Macaca mulatta: one gene and its partners. The protein of the gene in region 5 binds, or shares a complex with, the protein of the main gene of each other region. Links are inferred from orthologs where the notes say so. Each region holds a gene or a part of one and is shown on either strand. Other genes may lie near its edges. The genes, in order: STK24, STRIP1, STK25, STK26 and STRN4.

The links.
Region 1: STRN4 (region 5) and STK24 share a complex: the UniProt entries of both Homo sapiens proteins name them as parts of the core of STRIPAK complex. The link is inferred for Macaca mulatta from reciprocal best matches to the Homo sapiens genes STRN4 and STK24.
Region 2: STRN4 (region 5) and STRIP1 share a complex: the UniProt entries of both Homo sapiens proteins name them as parts of the core of STRIPAK complex. The link is inferred for Macaca mulatta from reciprocal best matches to the Homo sapiens genes STRN4 and STRIP1.
Region 3: STRN4 (region 5) and STK25 share a complex: the UniProt entries of both Homo sapiens proteins name them as parts of the core of STRIPAK complex. The link is inferred for Macaca mulatta from reciprocal best matches to the Homo sapiens genes STRN4 and STK25.
Region 4: STRN4 (region 5) and STK26 share a complex: the UniProt entries of both Homo sapiens proteins name them as parts of the core of STRIPAK complex. The link is inferred for Macaca mulatta from reciprocal best matches to the Homo sapiens genes STRN4 and STK26.

Annotation. Positions count from the first base shown.
Region 1 is NC_133422.1:93,279,781-93,284,353, forward strand, and holds the start of STK24 (serine/threonine-protein kinase 24), read right to left. Parts: upstream 3,106-4,573; 5' UTR 3,080-3,105; coding exon 3,038-3,079; intron 1-3,037. UniProt on the Homo sapiens protein: Serine/threonine-protein kinase that acts on both serine and threonine residues and promotes apoptosis in response to stress stimuli and caspase activation.
Region 2 is NC_133406.1:130,141,210-130,143,959, forward strand, and holds the end of STRIP1 (striatin-interacting protein 1), read right to left. Parts: intron 1,754-2,750; coding exon 1,506-1,753; 3' UTR 769-1,505; downstream 1-768. UniProt on the Homo sapiens protein: Plays a role in the regulation of cell morphology and cytoskeletal organization. Required in the cortical actin filament dynamics and cell shape. Part of the striatin-interacting phosphatase and kinase (STRIPAK) complexes.
Region 3 is NC_133417.1:146,790,722-146,794,086, forward strand, and holds part of STK25 (serine/threonine-protein kinase 25), read right to left. Parts: intron 3,024-3,365; coding exon 2,915-3,023; intron 2,160-2,914; coding exon 2,002-2,159; intron 1,934-2,001; coding exon 1,730-1,933; intron 1,525-1,729; coding exon 1,379-1,524; intron 1,090-1,378; coding exon 975-1,089; intron 567-974; coding exon 495-566; intron 1-494. UniProt on the Homo sapiens protein: Oxidant stress-activated serine/threonine kinase that may play a role in the response to environmental stress.
Region 4 is NC_133426.1:138,520,463-138,524,560, reverse strand, and holds part of STK26 (serine/threonine-protein kinase 26), read right to left. Parts: intron 768-4,098; coding exon 537-767; intron 1-536. UniProt on the Homo sapiens protein: Serine/threonine-protein kinase that acts as a mediator of cell growth. Modulates apoptosis. In association with STK24 negatively regulates Golgi reorientation in polarized cell migration upon RHO activation.
Region 5 is NC_133424.1:59,216,015-59,220,112, forward strand, and holds part of STRN4 (striatin-4), read right to left. Parts: intron 2,751-4,098; coding exon 2,647-2,750; intron 2,090-2,646; coding exon 2,016-2,089; intron 730-2,015; coding exon 651-729; intron 1-650. UniProt on the Homo sapiens protein: Calmodulin-binding scaffolding protein which is the center of the striatin-interacting phosphatase and kinase (STRIPAK) complexes.

The DNA of each region.
Region 1 (4,573 bases), on a different chromosome or scaffold from region 5:
GTTCAATAACGGCTGCTGATTGAATAAATTAAAAAATCGGCCTCCTATTTCTAATTTATTTGGCCAATCCAACTGGCAATGAGATAAACTTTAATGTTTGCAAAAGTAACCACAAAACAGTAACACTGCATGGTGAGTGGGAGCAGGAGGAGCAGTAGTTTCCAATAACAAATCTGCCATATAATATACGATCTCACCTTGGTCAGTTAAGCGTCCCTTGGTCTCTACATCTACAAAATGGTATAATACCTACATCTCAAACGGTACCAGTAAGAATCAAGAGGCATAAAAATGATTTGCAAAACACGGAAGAATGGTGTTTATACTAACATGGTTGTTATTTTTCAAGCATCCTTGCCTAGGCCACCTAAATTCACTCTGCCTTTTTTTTTTTTTTTTTTTTTGAGATGGTGTCTGGCTCTGTCGCCCAGGCTGAGGTTCAATGGCATGATCTCAGCTCAATGCAACCTCCGGGTTCAAGCGATTCTCCTGCTTCAGCCTCCTGAGCAGCTGGGACTACAGGCCTGTGCCACCACGCCCAGCTAATTTTTTTGATTTTTAGTAGAAACAGGGTTTCACCTTGTTAGCAAGGATGGTCTCAATCTCCTGACCTCATGATCCGCCCGCTCCGGCCTCTCAAAGTGCTGGATTACAGACTCTGCTGTCTTTCTAAGCCAACTCCTTATAAGCCCTGGTCAGGAGACAAGAAAAAGGGGGGGCTATGAGGCCTATCAGGGCAAGCCATAGAAGATATGGACTTCTCTCCTCCCATTTAGCAGACAACAGTTGAAAGCGGGTGTGCTTTTAATTGAATCTTCAGCAACAACTCTTAGGGAAGCCTCCCAGGGCAGCAGCAACTGCTAATTTGAAGTAGAAAATAAATGTGCTTGTTGTTTTTCTTTTGGGGGATGGGGAAGGAGAAAAGAATGTTCTTCCCCAAATGATACACTTTGTTACCATACAGTCTGTAGATGTACTTAGGTACAGGAATGACTGGCAGAAGCCAACTTTCCTACCTCTAAAACTGTAAAACTGTTAACAGCTGAAAATCTGATCATCTTTTCTCCTGAGAAACACTTACCATCTTTCATACTGAGAAAACAAAAACAGTTCCCATGTAACACAATCTAACAGATACGTAACAGTTGAGAGGCAAAGTTATTAAGGAAATGTATCCTCTTTTCCCAAGATTTAAGAACTCTGATCCACTCAAAAAAAAAAAAAAAGGACAAAAATGAAAAGGTGAGATACTAGGTATCACCTGGTAACCATCTGATACTGACTTCACAGCACCAGCCAAAGGGGCTTTAGTACCTTTTCAAACTGATTGGCTATCCACAAAGGCCAATTAACCTAGTAAGTGAGGCATTTGTGCTAGACTCCAACCTGATGCACACGGTATAAATGTCAACCTAAAGGAAATATTGATAAAAGTTTTTTTAAAAATCATTACAAGAGTCCTTCTTGCTCGACTGGTAAGAAATTCGTTTTTTCACCCAGTTCACTCTGACCTACACACCTCTAAATTCATACCAAAGCGGCTTTAGGAAATACCAAGAAACCACATCTGATTGTTACCCAGCAGTCAGCAGAAGTTTAGGTTTTGAATGCATGCTAAATTCAACGCTCCTTAAACGAGAGTCGACAAAAGAATATTCTTCAAGCATCTTCCCAGTCACTCTTAAGATACTGTTACTGCTTAAATATATATATTTATTTACTGCTTAAACATTTATATACACACATATATATACTGCTTATAATACACAGTTGGAGTAAAATTCTAGCTGCCATTAAAGCGGTAACTTTGAGTTCTTATATTTCCAGAATTCAAACGTGAACAGTGAAATCCAGTTTTCTTTTTATGGTTTCAAAAAAAGAAGGGAGAGGGATGATCTCACTGGAAAACGCGGGCAGACTCCAGAGGCAGTCCCAGGTCTGGGCACTGTGCTTCTCAGCCCTCAACACACAGGGAATGAGCCTGTTGGTATCTATAAGTCAACCGGTAATCTACTTGGATGCTTCTGGTTTTCTTCGAACACTTAACGTTCACTCAGCTAGACTGGGAGAGCAAACTTTCCTGACATATCCTAATTGTATCCTAAGATTTCAATCCTAAGCATTTTGCCACCATTTCTGCGCCTACAAACTTTACAAGAGTTAGCCAAGGACGGTGGTTTTGTTTTTCAAAGGGCTAAAAGCAGTCCCCAATGGCAACAAAAACAACAAAAAACCTTTAACTTATACATGTAAATTTGAAATTCAACTCCTCCCCCATCCCTCAAAAAGTCGCTGGTAGGCCAAGATGTCACCAAGTACCGAAGGAGAGGTTTACTGGGCGAAGAACTCCTGTAAATGCAACCAAGTCTCAAAGTGAAAGGCCCGGGACCCTGGTGTGCGGCTGTGCGAGGGATTCCTCCTTCCAAAAGGTCTGCAGCTCGCACTTCCCCCCAGTCCGCAGGTGCAAGGCCACTCCAAGTGGAACTCGCGGTTACACCTTCCTCCACTCCGCCCTGCCTACTCCGCTCGGGCCCGGACGAGTCCAGGCGCGCTCCCCGTCCCCGCCCTGCCCAGGTCTCCCGCCCGCCCGCCCGGGGGTGGGGGACGAGCCTGGGGGGGCGCGTCCTGGGGGCCGCCGCCAACCCGGCCCGCACGCAGGGCCCAGGGACCCGGCGGGGGCCTCCAAGGGCATCCCTCCACCTCACTTCTCCCGGGGAGGAGGCCACCCAGGGCCTGCAGCTCCGGAGGAGTGTTGGGGCGAGGGGAGCGCGTAGGACGAGGCGCCCGCACCCCCACATCCGGACCCAGGCCGCGGTCCCTACGGCTCCTGCAAGCACACGCCGGAGACCTCGGCCGCCAGAGCCGGCAGGGACATCAGGGGCTCCGACTCGGACCCCCGGCCGAGCTGGGCGCGCGGGGAGCCAGGCTCTGGCGCGACCCCGGCCAGCTGGGCGTAGGGGGGCGCCGTGTGGACACCGCCAAGTTGCCGCTTCCGCCCCGGTCGCGCATCCCGGCCCCGCGGCCCGCGCCCGCCTACCTGCATGCCGGGCAGGCCCGACTGCACCGGGGAGTGAGCCATGGCGCTCAGGACGGCTACTTCCTGGCACGGGACGGCCGGGCCGCGGCGATCCGCGCGGGGCGGCGAGGCCCGCGGGCCGCGCGCAACCCTCGGGCGGCGGGGCGGCCGGAGCCCGAGGCCACCCCAGCCCCGGCGGGTCCCGGCCGGGCGGCGGGGGCTCAGCTGCGGGTGGCGGGCCGCGTCTCCATGCACGGCGCGGGGGAGGAGCTGCTGGGGGCGCGGGGCCTCGCGCGAACTGCCGCCGCCGCCGCTGCTGCTGGGCTGGAGCCGGGCGGCCTGGGCCCGCGCGCGCTGGCCGCTGGAGCGGGAGTGGGCGCGCACAGCCCGCCGAGCCCGCGAGCGCCAAGCGCGTCCCGTCCCGGCCCGGCCCCCGCGCCCGCCCCCGCGGCCCGGCCGGGGACCCCGCCCCGCGCTTCCGGGAGGGGGAGGGGAGAGGCCGGTGGCCGCGCGCGAGCCCTAGGCCGCAGCCGCCGCCGCCGCCTGCCGGCCCGGCCCGGGTCCCAGCTGCTCCCGCGGCGCTCCCACGCCCCCGCGGGCGGGCGGGCGGCTGGGCCGGGAGGGGGCCTCGGCTGGGGCGGGCGCTGGGAGGGACCGAGTCGGGGCCGGAGGCTGGCCGTGCGCCCACCGGGCCGGCGCCGGGGAGAGCTGGGCCGTGGCCCCCTCTTCACGCCAGCCAGCCCACTCCGCCCCGGCGATCCATGGGGAAACGGGCTCCGGGCGAGCCCCAGAGGGCAGGGTCAGGGTCCAGGGGCACCTGGGGAGGGAGAGCGCCCCGCGGGGCCTCGGCCGGTGGCCTGTGCCAAAAGGCCGGGCAGAGCTGCTTCGGTGTCTGGGTGAAGTTTCCAGCCAACCCAAGAAGGAAACCGAAAGGGGAGAGGCCGAGAGAGAGGTTGATTCCTAGCGCTTTGGTTACCGAAAACAGCCCCGCTGGGGCTGCTGGGCTGGGAACTTAGCTAAGCAGTGAGGAGGCTGAACCCCACCATCTCTGGAGTCCGCAGCAAGTCAGGAGCACCCACCCACGAAAAGGGGAAAATGGAGTGCAGAGGGCAGGGAGGAAGGGAAGAGAATGGAAGGAAAGCGCATCTGGACTTTGAACTGCAGCCCTCTCCGTCTCTTTCCTTTTCCTGGGAAGCTCCAGGCCCACTCAGCACCAGTTCTGTCTCCTCTTTTCAGCTGCCTTCTCTCTAGCTACTGAGGGGAAAAGTCAGGATGGAGCGGGTCCCTCGGCCTCCAGGAAGTGTTTTATTACAGTCGCAAACAGTAGAGCGGCAGCCACCCCAGTGATGACTCCCTGCCCCTTAGATTATAGGGACGCTGGTACCTCATTCATGCTCCTAAGTGGCCATTTTGCACCCTGGCTGGGCGAGTTAGGCAGACAAAATGAGCCCCCAAAAGTTTAAAGGCCTCCACCAAAGTAAGGAGTATTTCTTTTCCGAGGTGTCATTGTATTCCATCCACGAACATCAGTTTCGCAGGATGCCCTGGATCTGACAC
Region 2 (2,750 bases), on a different chromosome or scaffold from region 5:
CAAGACCCAACGAAGGGGAGATTCTCCCCAGAACATGTTTCCTTTACAAGTCAAGACCCTTCAAGACTTAAGAACCTATAAAACAACTGCGTACAGGTAAAATAAGAGCTTCCAGGAATTCTAAAAAGGGAACACTCCTTTTACCAGCATCAAAACGGTAATATCTTCTCAGGCAGACGCAACCAGGGGTCTGGAGGCCAGAGTGTAGGCGCCAGGTGTCCACTGACACCCACTTCAAAGATTTTCCTTGCTTTTTTCTCAGCCACAGGGGGCTCCTAGCTCCTGGCAACATTGTTTCCCACCATGAACCTGACTCCTGATAGTCTGCTTCCTACGCTCTGAGTACTGAAGTTTCCGCTCAGTCCCAACCACCTGCCCCAGGGAGGACCTAGAGCAGCTGACCCCCTTGCTTTGACCTAGCCCCTCCCTCTCTAGCACTGACACTGGTTTGGCTGAGGCCAGCTCAGTGATGTGATCCAGAGAAACCTGGGGCTCCTACTGAAATTACAGCAAACCCAGGGGTGCAGGACAATGTCTCAGTAAAGTAACCTTGATAGTGCCCTGGAGTTGGGTGAGAGTAATCCCAGATTACTGTGGGGTTAATTTACACTGGATAAATGCCAACTCCCTCTTCTCTTCCCCCAGGATGGGAAAGGCAGGCAGCTTGGCAAGACAAGCAGTGACCAGCAATGCTAGCAGAAAAAAACACTTTCTAGACCTGGAGGAGACATGTAGAGGCCATATTTCCCGTAGACAAGCCAACGGGAATGATTTTTGCTTATTTTTAATGTAAACAGAATACACAAACACATTAAAAACCCCAACATGACACAGGAGAATACACACAGAATTATATATAGGTATTTACAGGCCCTCCAAAGCCAAAAGGAAAAATGGCCCCTCTGGTTAAGGGAAGCTTCTCTTCCTACCTTGTCCCTGTCCAAAATCAAAGTGTGGAGGCAGCTGCAGGAGCCTCTGCAATTACTTCTGCATATAACATAGCAGGAGGCTGGAATAACAACAGAAACCCCCCACCCCCACCCCAGAGCACAACCAAGACACCGTTGTATTTTTTTTTGGCCCTGGCCCTAATCCTAAACTCTCCTCCTTTGCAAGCTGACAAAGCAAGGATTTGTGTGTCTCAGGAGGCATCAGCATGACCCCTGAAATTTAGATGTGCTGTGGAGGGGTTCCCATCCCATTCCAGCTTTCCCAGCCTTGGGCTGATTGTGAAATGAGCCAAAACCAACCATGTCCAAGAGAGGAGGGTGAGAGAAATAAAGGAAGAATGGATCCCAGGCAGAGATGACTGCTTCTGAGCTGGACCCTGGGAACCAATAGGAGGTAAAGCTGGGCTCATCCAAACCCAGGACAGACTGCAGAAGACACAGTGGGGCTGTGCTGCCACCTGGTGGGGAATGGGAGCGCTGCAGCCATGAACTAGGACAGTCCTGCAGGTACCTTGAGATCCTCCTTTCTCTGTTTCAGTCCCCTAACCAACAGCCTTACTGCAGCAGCTCTTCCCAGGAAATGGGCTTGGAGAAGACCTCCCTTTCTAACCAGAGGTCATAGTTCATCTGAAAGTCCTCAGGGAGGTCCACCCGTTGGCCCAGGACACTCTGCAGGCAGTTGTCCACTGGCAGGAAGTCGGGGTTGCTGTGGGCCCGGTCATAGCGCCGGGCGTTGAAGCGTTCAATGTTGGCACGGAGGGCACACTCCTCTGCCTGGAAGTCCCAAGGCCGGGCATCAAGATCTGAGACAAAGCAGGAAGAACACAGTTAGGAGCCACGCCCTGTAGCAGCTCCCCATGGACTCACTGCAGCTCAGGGGCCTGGCCAGGAATATTGAGTGTCAACTAGGAGCAGGATACCTCCGAGCTCTAGGAATTCCTTCCTAGATCCAAAGGAGAGTCAAGTACAAGCAGAAAAGACAGAAGTACCGACAAAGAGGCTTATACTGTAGAGATTATGTAGACCCAGAGAGGGAGAGCCATGTGTACAACACATTTCTCTCAAAGTGGCAACCTCCCTAGCTCTCTGGGGTCAGAGGGAGGAACCTGGAAATCCTCTCATTTGCTCATTCTCTCTCAACTCCCTGACCAGGTACCGTGTGCCACCGTGGGCCTGCACACATTCACAAGGCACTGAGAGTACAGACACAGTCATTTAGCCATGGTGGTATACTCCAGAAACGCAACAATGTGGCAACACACCCACACAGAGCAGCCCAGGCAGGCAGGGGAGACCCTGCGGGTGGAGGAAGAGCGTCTGCAGAGGCCTAGCAGTGGTAACCACACAGCTATGTTAGGGCACTAAGCACTCCTTGTGCCTGGAGCTCTGGGTATGATGGAGGCTGGACTGACAGCAGGTAACGAGGTTGAAAAGGAAGCTGGGTCAGATTACAGAGGAGGATAATGAAAAAGGACGAGGGAGCCTCATGCTTGAGTCTGAATCTAATTCTAAGGGAAACAGGAAGCTAATGAAGGATTTTACTCAGGGAGGTAACAGCACAGAAGCTGCATGTTGAAAAGATTCACTAGGGTGCCGGGCGCAGTGGCTCATGCCTGTAATCCCAACACTTTGGGAGGCCAAGGCAGGTGGATCCCTTGAACCCAGGAGTTCAAGAACCACCTGAGAAGGATAGGCACAGTGGCTCACGCCTGTGATCCCAGCACTTTGGGAGGCCGAGGCGGGTGGATCACTTGAGGCCAGGAACTCGAGACCAGCCTGGCTAACATGGTGAAACCCCAT
Region 3 (3,365 bases), on a different chromosome or scaffold from region 5:
TCTCACCCACATCCTCCATCCTCCCCAGGCTCCAGGAGGGGCTCCTGGAGAGCACACCTGGGCCCAAGCCCACTGGCCACGCCCTGGGCACAGAGCTCCTGGCTGCATCACATCTCTGAGAATGGTGCCGACTGCCCATTAGCAGGTGACGCTGATGCAAGGTCATGTGACTAACCAGGGAGGCACCTGCCCTGGATGGACCCCGACTACATCTTCTCTGCTTTCTCTATAGAAGGGTCATCTGTGTTTGCACTTGAAGAAAACAAAAGTCGCTCTGGGAACCCAGAGGACCTTGGCAGGTCTGGGAGTACAAAAGGTCATCACAGCAGATTCTGCTCCTTCTACTCAGGAAACCCAGCCCATAATCAGCTGCAGGAAACCTAGAAGCTGAGACTGCCCCACGGCACTGTGAGGGGACATCCCCGCGGAGCAGCGTCCCAGCCTCGTCCCTGGCGGGGCTCCAGCCCCAGCCCCAGCCCCAGCCCCCTTCTCACCTCTCCGAAGACAGGCCGGACCAGCGTGGACAGGCACTGGGACCTTGGCTGCCTCTTGACAGGCTCTGCGGGCTGCAAAGGAAGTGGAGGCCCAGGGTGAGCAGGGCAGTGCAGGCGACAGGCAGGGCACTCCCATCCCTTCAGGCTCTAGCCTTGAAGGGATGGAGACTGGGAGCAGCCTGTCATGGCACATGCCCAGGGCTGGCCCCAAAACCATCAAGCCACCCAGATGGCCTGACTCAGGGCTTACAACTCCCACCCACCCTCTCCTCACAAATTTGGCTCCTAACAGGCCCTCATCTTCCCAGCACATGCTGGGGCTTGGGGTCTCCACACCAGGCCCAGTGCCACAGTGGGCTTCAGACCACCCCTGCCTTTCCCAAGCTCCTTGTCCAAGCCCCAGACACTGGGTGGACAAAGCTGGGTCCCGCACCCAGCCCCAGGGGTGCACAGCAGGCAGAGGCCAGGCCGGGAACAGACCTTCTGTGAGCTGTGCAGGGCCGTCCCCTTGTGAAGCTTGCTGTGTGGACTCGGCCGGATGGTGGGGGGGAACGTCCAGATGGGGCCCTGCTCCCCGTCCTCCGCCTCGCCATCACTGAAGAGGATGAAGAGTTGCCAGGGTCAGTGGGGGGAGAGCCAGGAGGCACAAGGGCCTCAGGGCACACCTCACGGCCAAGGGAAACCCGAGGTACTGGGCGGCGCTCTGCCAGGCCACGGAGTCCAACTGATGCCTCAGCAGGCCCTGTCCTGTAGCCTTAAGGGGGTCCCTGCCCAATACTATATCTGGTCACTCTCACCCCTAGAGCCCACGCCCCTGCTTCTGGAGTGGGGACCACCCACGTCACAACACCGAGGGTCACCATGAGGATAAACCAGGCCCCTACATGTCAGAGTCCTCGGAGCTGGACTCCTCGCCATGCCCCTCGGACTTCCAGCGCTTATAGCGGTCGATGAGCTCCGTGAGGAAGGAGGTCTTCTTGGTGTAGCGTGTGATGAACTTGTGCTTCAGGAGCTCCTTGGCTGTGGGCCGCTGTGCGGGGTCAGGGGAACATCGGTCACTGGGCCCAGCCAAGCTCTGCCTCAGGAAAGCAAATGTGAGGCAGCCTGGACTGGGGCAGGTCCTCACGGCTACAAGGCTGGGGGGCCTAGGCCTCCGGGCTGTGCTGCCCACCCCAAGCAAATGCCCTCCCTCCATATGCCCATCCAGAAGGGGCCAGGCCAGAGGCGGGCCTTACGAATCGGGGGTCCTTGTTGAGGCAGGCCTCCACGAACTCCTTGAACGGCTTGCTGTGCTGGCCCTCCAGTGTGGGAGGGCTGTTCTTGGGAATCAGGAACAGGACGCGCATGGGGTGGAGGTCAGAGTTTGGAGGCTCCCCCTTGGCCAGCTCGATGGCCGTGATCCCCAGGGACCAGATGTCGGCCTGGACAGAACACAAGGACTGTCGCTGCCCTGAGCACCCCAGTCAGGCGTGGTGCCCGCACCCGCCCGCCCACCCACTGCACCCACCTTGAAGTCATAGGCCGACTGCTTGATGACTTCAGGCGCCATCCAGAAGGGGGTGCCCACGAACGTGTTCCTCTTAATCTGTGTGTCTGTGAGCTGCCCTGCTACCCCAAAGTCCGCCAGCTTCACATCCCCCTGCTCCGAGAGTAGCACGTTGGCAGCTGCTTGACACAGGACAGGCAGACGTCATGCCAGGCTCCACGTGGCTCCACCCAGGGCCCCCTGAGAAGGGCCAGGGTATCATCCACCTGGCCTCCTAGGGCACAGCAGGGCTGTCCTCAGGACTTCAGCCCTCCTTGCCACTCTCAAACCCAGGGCCACCTAGGGCCACAGGGGCACTGCCAGAAGGAGCCTAAGGTCTCCACTCCGAGCTCCAGGGCTCTCCCTGCATTTGGCTTTTACAACAAATCCCAACGACAGGTGACTTCGCCCACTGGGGGCTACCACAGAGGTGACCCTGATCAAGGGTGTGGCCACCATGGGCCTGCCAGGAAGCCCCTTGCTCCACCAGACTTGTCCCCTACATGAGAGAGATGACTCGGTGCCGGTGGCAAGTCCCTCCCCACAGGCTGGCCCAACCTCATGTCTGCACTTAGCAGGGCCAGACCACACGCTGGGGCTACTCAAGCCTACACCTGCTGTTGTGCTGTGAGCCACCGGGAACCAACAACTCTGGCTAAGCGTGGCTGTTCCTACACTCAGTCCACAGCTGGTTTACTCAGCGTACAAGGAAACTGTTACAAACAGTATCTTCTGGAAATGGAGCAAGACAACTGCTCAGTTTCAGGGTGGCCACAGGGTTCTCTATACCCCAGACGCTGGGCACCACTAGCCACTTGCCCCTCACAGGCCCCAGCCTCTCTAAGGTCAGTGGGGCTCAGGACATTACAAGAGCCACATTCACCCCCAGCAGGACCTTTGATGTCTCGGTGGATCTTGCGTTCGGAGTGCAGATAATCCAGGCCCTTCAGAATTTCCCGCAGGATCGTGGCAATGTACGTCTCCTCCAGGGGACCTGGTTTAAGCTGGAGAGGAAGGTGGGACAGCAGGGCCTCAGCTCCTGTCCCAGGCCCAATGCCTGAGTTCTCCTGTCTCTCTGACAGGGGAGGGCTGTCCCTGCAGATAGCTGGGGGCTTCATGTTCCTTTACTTCTCAAACACAACTTTCAGACGGGAGTGGGGTGGTCTAAAGCATATAAACCAGCTTCACTTTACTGTCATGTAACAGAAAAACAGGCTCCCAACCATCTCCCAGCGTGCCTGCCCCCGCCCACTCCCACAGGCCAGGACCCCTTTCAGCACCAACTGGGCAGACGTGCGGATGGCAGTTCATTTTTGCTTTAGACGATTCGTAATTAACACCTAATG
Region 4 (4,098 bases), on a different chromosome or scaffold from region 5:
AATTCCATTTTAACAAATATTTATCACGTGCTTAAGATGTGCCATACCCTGTGCCAAGGGATGTAAGTACCAGAACTGATTAAGCTAAACTACCTGCTATGAAGGAGTTCACAACCTGGTGGGGGAGACAAATGTGTAAATAACTACCACAACTCAATGAAATAAATGACATACTTACATGTTCCATCAATTCTGAGGTTGAGACAGTCAAGACCATTGAGAATAGTGTCTGGAAATGCAGGGGGATAGCTCTTTCCTGACAAAGGATATGTCTCCAGGACCAGCTGCATTTCTGCTCCTCCGTCAAACCAAAAGTTCAGGTGTAGAAAAGGGGTGCAGCTGAGTACTGGGATGCATTCAGGATACAGCTGCTAAATCTAACAACGGTTTATTTGGCACTATAAATGGAGCTGGATTCTGCCTGGAGGCCATAGACTGCCAAATCCTAATTTAAGACATTGCCTTTCAAAAAAATAGAATTAAAAAACTTCTAATGAAAATACCTTATGACTTAAATAATACAGCACACACATTACCTTTAAATATGACCCATAGTATTTTGTCACATATGAGCTGTCACATTGACTCAAGACAGTTATTTCTTGCTGAATGTCTTCTATTTCATCTTCGGCTTCCTCAAGGTCTATGATTTTAATAGCAACGACTTGCTGGGTACGGTTATCAATTCCTTTGAAAACTTCCCCAAATGAGCCTTTCCCAATGCGCTCTAATTTTGTGAACAGCTCTTCTGGATCAGCTATGTTATTCTAAAGGGAGTGGGGAGAGAGAAAAAGAAAGAACACAAACGTTTTGAATCAGATTTTTTTAATGAAGGAAACTAAATCACATAAGACAATAACAAATTTTTGTAAAAGCATACAAACTTCTTTGACTCCCCATATGTGCTTTGTTAGAACAACTGTAATCCCAAACAGGCAGCTAGTCCATATTCTAGTGAAACACACACACTAACTGAGCTTAGCTGATCCTGCTACCACAAACATTCTCACACAGCAAATACAATCGGTGCATGCCAAAACATCAGGCACTTTTTGGAATAAAGCTGCTGATTATACACAGTTTACACATTAATGCAAATGTAGCAATAGTGGGAGAATATCTAACCTAAGCTAAGGTGAACTGTTTTAAGTTTCTAACATTCTGCCAATATTACCTTTTAACTCTCCTCTCTCTCCAACTCGCATATCCCAATCATCTTAGCTCTACTTCCAAACCGCCATCTAAATAATACAGACCGCAAAAGACTCCAGGCTTTACAGGTCTTTATTTTTCTTTAGTTGGAATCTTATCTATGTGAAATGTTATCATCAATAGTTGAACTAAGATTCTATACCTTTGTACTAATTGCTAGTAATCATGAGAAAATGGTAATACATTGAACTTTCACAACTCATCTCACAGTGAAGATCCAGAATAATTTAACACTTCAATAAAATCTGGAATAAGCGTAGGCTTTTAAGGTTAACAAATGTATAGGCATGACTTAGATTTATAAATTCACTGTTGTTTCCTGATTCAGAAATATTCTGTATCTTATAATATACAATTTTGAATTAAAATTTTACCCCAAGACAAACTTTATATACTTATACTTACTTAAACTCATATTGCTGGAAATATACTGCTGATCAAGTAGAAACTCAAGATGGCCAACCCTGCCAAAAGCACATTAAGTGCTTTATTAATCAAAAACTTTTGAGTTTCTTCAAAATATAGGAGGATTCTATCAAGTTCTGGTGAGCTATCTGTGTCTAATTTGTCAACTGTACATAGAATATCTGTTCATTTACTACAATTTTACCTAGTTTCATTTCATCGTCAATTTCAGAAGACTATTATGGAGTCAGCGTGTCCCTTTTATCTTCCTTATTAGACAAAGGGGCCACTGAAAATATTGTTTTTCTCTTATCAAGTTCTTTGCACCATGATCACCAAATGGACACACTACTACTCCAGTAAACCACTACCTTTTGAGGTAACTCCAAGACCCATGACTGCTTTTAAAGAATTTCACCAAGTTCTCTTTTTACACAGCCTAAAATACAGTTTGTACATGACCTGTTTACCTTATAAGCTTCCCCATTCTTTCTGATTGGATGTTTTTCCATTTCTAAAAGTTGTACTTTCCATATAGAAGTCTCTGAAACTGCAAGCTACTTGTGTATCCCCACCCACCTCCAGTACCCACATGGAACAAACACATCTTGAGCTTTCCATACGGGCTTTTAAAAATAGTTTAGGCTTCCAGTAGGTTGCAAATGCATTTTTAATGCTCATATTTTGTTATAATACCTTCTCAAAAACTTGAGTGCCATCATTATTGATTTCCTTGGTGTCCTCTTTTACCAAGACCTTGTATTTCATTGTGACTACTAATACATAGTGGCTAACCCACAGTTACCTCTTCCTACTTTTGGTGATGGTTCTTGGTTTTGTAATACCTTGTGGAAAAAATACTTACTACATAGTTTGGTGATGGGTTCACTCCTTATAAATTCCTTTGGAAAAAAAGTATTTCCGTTTTCCTGACACAGTTATAAAACAATTCTAAAATTTGGAAATGTATCATTTATTTGAAGACACATAGGATATATCTTCTGATAAGACACTCTGGGAAGTGTATGTATTCATTAACTTTAAACAAGAATCTTCTGTTGTTAAGGAACAAAAATGAAATCTTCATCTTCCTAATTAGTGTTTTAAAAGGATTTGATTGAAACAGTCAACTTGAGGGAGGATACGGCTGTTCCTTGCTTCCTACAATAAATGGGTTCTTGCAAATATGTAAATCAAAAAATTTAAAACCAGATCACATTTTGCATTTTAAAGAAGCACTGAAGTAAACCCTAATCCATGGATATAGTTTAAGATTTTAAATTGAGGAATAGCAAGTTAGACACAGAAAAAAAGAAAGATCCATCATTTACACAATGTTTGCACTTCCTACTCTTTTATTTTGGGTCTAACACTGCTCCTACAAAACACCAACTTTCAGAGTGGAGGGAATCATGAAAACAAGATTTCACTAATATAACCTCACTTCCCTAGCTAGCTAAGGGATAGAGACCCCTGCCACATTTACTAATCGTGAATCCCTGATAGATAATACAAAAGTTATAATTCCCCCTTCATCATTTTAAACTAAAGTATCCTAAGTCTTTGTTAAGACAGGTTTCCTTCCTGTTTTTAGCACAAGGGCAAAGATCAAGTAAATAAATAGCAAACATCCCAAGGAATGCAATTAAAAGCCACTTAAATAAAGAATCTAGTTTGCCTAATCATTCCCATCATTCTTTGGAACCTCTGAGAAAAGTCAGCTCCCAAATCAAATATTCGTTTAAGATTACTGAAATTCCAACCCAAATGCCCATCAATGACAGACTGGATAAAGAAAACGTGGCACATATACACCATGGAATACTATGCAGCTATAAAAAAGGATGAGTTCATGTCCTTTTCAGGGACATGGATGAAACTGGAAACCATCATTCTCAGCAAAGTAACACAAGAAGAGAAAACCAAATACTGCATGTTCTCACTCATAAGTGGGAGTTGAACAATGAGAACACATGGAAACAGGGAGGGGAACATCACACATCAGGGCCTGTCAGGGGGTAGGGGCTTGGGGAGGGATAGCATTAGCAGAAATACCTAATATAAATAACGAGTTGATGGGTGCAGCAAACCAACAGGCACATGTATACCTATGTAACAAACCTGCACGTTCTGCACATGTACCCCAGAACTTAAATATAATAATAAAAAACACTGAAATTTCTAAATATTCCTTACCTCTACTGCAAAAATCACAATGTATTACTCTATCTGCGTTTGTATTGCCTTCTCAAAGCTGCCCCCAAAAAAGAGCTCTATGTTCTGTAGTGTCAAATAGGAGGAACTGCTAAATTAACCTCATATTGACTTATTAATGGCAGACGACTTCCACATGCCATACCAAAACAGGGCTACAAAAACGAAAACCTCACAGATACACCTCCTCAGGACAATCAGATTACTCCTTGGCCCTGTTTTACCTGTTATTTAACTTGAATTTGCACTCTTCAGCTTTAAGTACAC
Region 5 (4,098 bases):
TCTCCTGCCTCAGCCTCCCGAGTAGCTGGGATTACAGGCATGCACCACCACGCCCAGCTAATTTTGTATTTTTGGAAGAGACGGAGTTTCTCCATGTTGGTCAGGCTGGTCTTGAACTCCCGACCTCAGGTGATCCACCTGCCTTGGCCTCCCAAAGTGCTGGGATTACAGGCATGAGCCACCACGCTGGCCTGATTAGTCTTTAAAAATCTAATTAACAAATAAAAAAATAATTTAATATTACCCTTGGGGAATAAAAAGCCACACTTCATAAATCTTCACAAGGTATTGAAAAAAAAAAAACAAAGCCACAGGGCTCCTATGGCCACCGAGATAAAAAAAAAAAAAAAAGGCCACAAAGGGCTCCTATGGCCACTGAGATTAAAAAAATAAAATAAAAAAGCCATAGAGGCATTCAGGGACACATTCCAATGGGGGCGTTCCCATGTCTGCCTCCTGCAGTGCGTTTCCCTCCCTCTCCCCAGGCCAGGCTCCACCCACAGGGTGAAGGCCACTCCAGCCATGGCGGGCTAAGATACTGATAGTTCAGCGTCCCCACTGGGTACACAAAAGGACTGTGGAGCCTTTGGACTTCTCTCTCAAGCCAAATGTGCCATGTGTCCCCAGCCCCACTCCCCAAGCACACTCACTGTCGGAGAAGCTGCCGCCCCTCCTTCCACACCAGCGGGCTGTTCTCCAGGGTGACCGATTCCACGGGGCCATTGGAGACTGGCGGGTGAGAGAACGGAGGCTGTCTTAGTCGGGCCACTGCCACCTACCCATCATCTCCTCCATCCTCCTCACCCCTCCAACCCAAATCGGTCACTGTCACGGGTCCTGTGGCGTCACTTCCTGAGTGTTGGAACCCTGCTCTCTTCCCCCACGTGGGGATGCCTCCTCCTTGAAGCGGTCCTCATCTCTAGGTCTCCTGACTGGTGGTTCCCCAAACTGGCCCCCGACAAGAAAAGGGCTTTTTCTCAAAACTCTGGGCGAGTTGTCATTTTCCTTCACAGAAAGCTGGCCTGGTTCTGAGAGTAGGGCCGACCGGGTTCAAGCCCGGCTCTGCCCCATCCCAGCTGTGTGACCCTGAGTTAGGGTGAGCGGTGTCAGTTTTGTCCTCTGAGAAATGAGCTTAATGATAACAGCATCTCCCTCTTGGGAGTGCTGGGAGGATGCAATGAGGTAATTTGCTTAGTATTTTATTCAAGTCTTTTCTGGGCATCTACTTCGTGCCTGGCTAGGGACCTGGGCTACCCGGGTCAACAAAGACCTGCCCCTGTGGAACTTCCGTTCCAGTGAGAAGAGCTGGCAGCAGGTAACGACCATCACTATCAGCTGAGCATACAAGGTCTTCTCAGCTTGCCTCAGCCAAGCTTCCCCTCACCTGGCCCGCCCTCCCACATCCTCTGCCCTACACCGTTTGCCCAGTCACAGTGACCGACTCCCTATCCTCTAACCCGTTCAGCGTGCGTCTCTGCATCTGTGCTGTCTCCCCTGACTCTCCTGCTGGGGAACAGAGTCATCTTTCAAGGAGCTTAGACTCTAAGGGACCAGAGGGTAGGAACCACATCTCCCGTGCTCTCTGCTGTATTCCTGATCTGTGATACAAAGCCTGTACCCCACAAATAAAGTCTTTTTGGATGAACGACTGAATGGCAACTCTGTTCAAACGCCACCTCCTCAGTGACGTCTTCCCCGGCTTTCCCGCACCGTCCCCGGCAGTCTATAAATAGTCCTGGCGCCCACTCCTCGCAAAGGGATCCCGTGAGCTGCTCATGTGTCTGCCTCTGTTGCACAGGGGGACGGCAAGCAGGACTGGCCCCCAGGGTCCAGCACAGGACCTGGCAGCCCATGGGGAGGACTCTGAGAGTGAGAATCCGCCCCTCCCCAGCCCCGGGGCCGATTCTGCCTTCTAAGGAGCAAAGTGAGAAAGAGGCACCCCATCTTCCTGCTTCTCCAGCACACTCAGCGTCCACGGGAGGGCGCCGACCGCGCGAGCATCAGAGGGTGGGTACCTTGTTCTGACACATCTGCTTTCTTCTCCCCCTGGTTCAGGTCTGTACCAAACTTCAGTTTATGATATTTGGCCCTAAAAGAGCAAATGGTTAATGAATAAGAGATGCGGGAGAGTAGACAGAGTCAGCAGTTACCTGAGGAATCTGGAATCCCAAACCCCAAATCACAGGGCCTCCCACAACCGGTCTCCTACCACTGAGGCTGAAGCATCCCCCACACCCCTGGCCTGGTGGAAGAGATCACTCCCTAGAGTCAGGCAACCTGAGACCCCTAGTCTCAGGGGTCCTTGAAGAAACCATCAGCCCTTGAAACCCCAGTTCCTCGTCTGAAACAGGGCTAACAATACCCGTTAGGCTACGGGAAGGGGTAAGGGATAACCGAGGTAAGGACTATACAATATTTGGCGCACAGTGGGCCACCAGCATCGTGAATACTGTTTCTGGTAGACGTCTAGCCGGAATCCCACCTACCCTGTCTTGTTTCTCCCCTAGAACCTTATGGTACTGGAACGATGGAAAAGAATGTCGACCCCAAATCTCCCTCAGCTGGAAGGAGGCGTGGCTGGTGGCCTCCTGACGCTGTGCTTGAGATGGACCCAGAAGGCAGGCCCGGGGCAGGACGAAGGCTCACCTTTCCTGCTTCAGTGCGTACTCTAGCATCTTGATCCGCCGCACCAGGTCTGTCTTCAGATTCTCCTGCCCTTTCCTCTCTCCCTGGAGGAAGGCCACCTGAGCCTGGGAGGGCACACAGGAGGCAAATGAAGACAGCGGGGCTCAGGCTCACTGCCGGTGTGTCCGTCACTCATCCAGGCACAGTACCAGCCCACAGCCACCCCACAGTGATGGGTGGCAGCCACTTCCTCAGCACAAAGACCCCGAGCCAGGGTTCAGGAAGCACTGAGAGGACAGGCTGGATCTGTTTCCAGGGCCCCCTGCCACGTCATCCACAACGAGGGCCGAAGGGGAGCCCTTAAACCCTGAGATGACAATGGGGACAGCCTAGGCCTCACTTGCTGGCTGCTTTTGGAGGGAAGTCGGGTCAGGGATGGCAGTGGAGAGGAGGGTGGGCATTCACTGCCCTGGACTCCCCCCAACACCCTCTGGCAGGTGCTGTCCCTAAGGCTACTGGTGGAGGTGGTGTCCCACTATTCTTACCAGAGCATCTGTCTCTGGGAGGCGTGGGAAGCTACTTCTGGAGCTTTGGGACAAGAGTGGGTGGCTTGGCTCGGCTCCCGCTCCAATACAAAAGCTTTACAAGCCAAGCCCACTGTGGGACCAGCCGTCCCACTGCACTCTGCCCAGGGTGTGAGAGAAATGTGCCACAGACACGACTCCGGGTTCCTGCCAAGCACTTCACACCGTCTGCTGGCTTGAGTTGCCCTGTCTGCTCCAGTCTGTCAACAAGTCATTTAGAGACACTGGGCCCACTGCCTTCCAGGCAGGATCCTGGCCTCTGACCATGGTCCAGAAGCCCTTGTGCCAAAGCCCTGGCCCAGGGCTCATCTCTGGCTTCTCCCTAAGCACCCCACCATTCCAGCCCAGAACAGCCAGAGCTCCAGGCCCAACTTAGACACTTACTCGCTACATGATCTTAGGCAGGTCATTGGCCTTCTCTGAGCCTCCATTTGCGCCTCCAGAAAATGAGACTCGTAAGAGTGCCCTCCCCTCATGTGCTAGCTTCTGCTCAGTCCAAGGCCTGGCACAGAATAAAGGCTAACAAATGCCAGCTTCTACTTCTCTTATCACTTTTACTCTCCATGTACATTTTCTGCAAATCCAAAATGGGCCCAGTTCCTTACAGGAGGCAGGATCCCTTGGAGACCCCAGATCAAGTAGAAATGTCTGTGGATTGGCCAGGCACAGTGGCTCACACCTATAATCCCAGCCCTTTGGGAGGTTGAGGTGGGCAGATGACTTGAGGTCAGGAGTTCGAGACCAGCCTGGGCAACATGGTGAAACCCCATCTCTACTAAAAATACAAAAAACTTAGCCAGGTGTGGTGGTACACACCTGAAGTCCCAGCTACTTGGGAGGCTGAGGCAGGAGACTCGCTTGAACCTGGGAGGTGGAGGTTGCAGTGAGC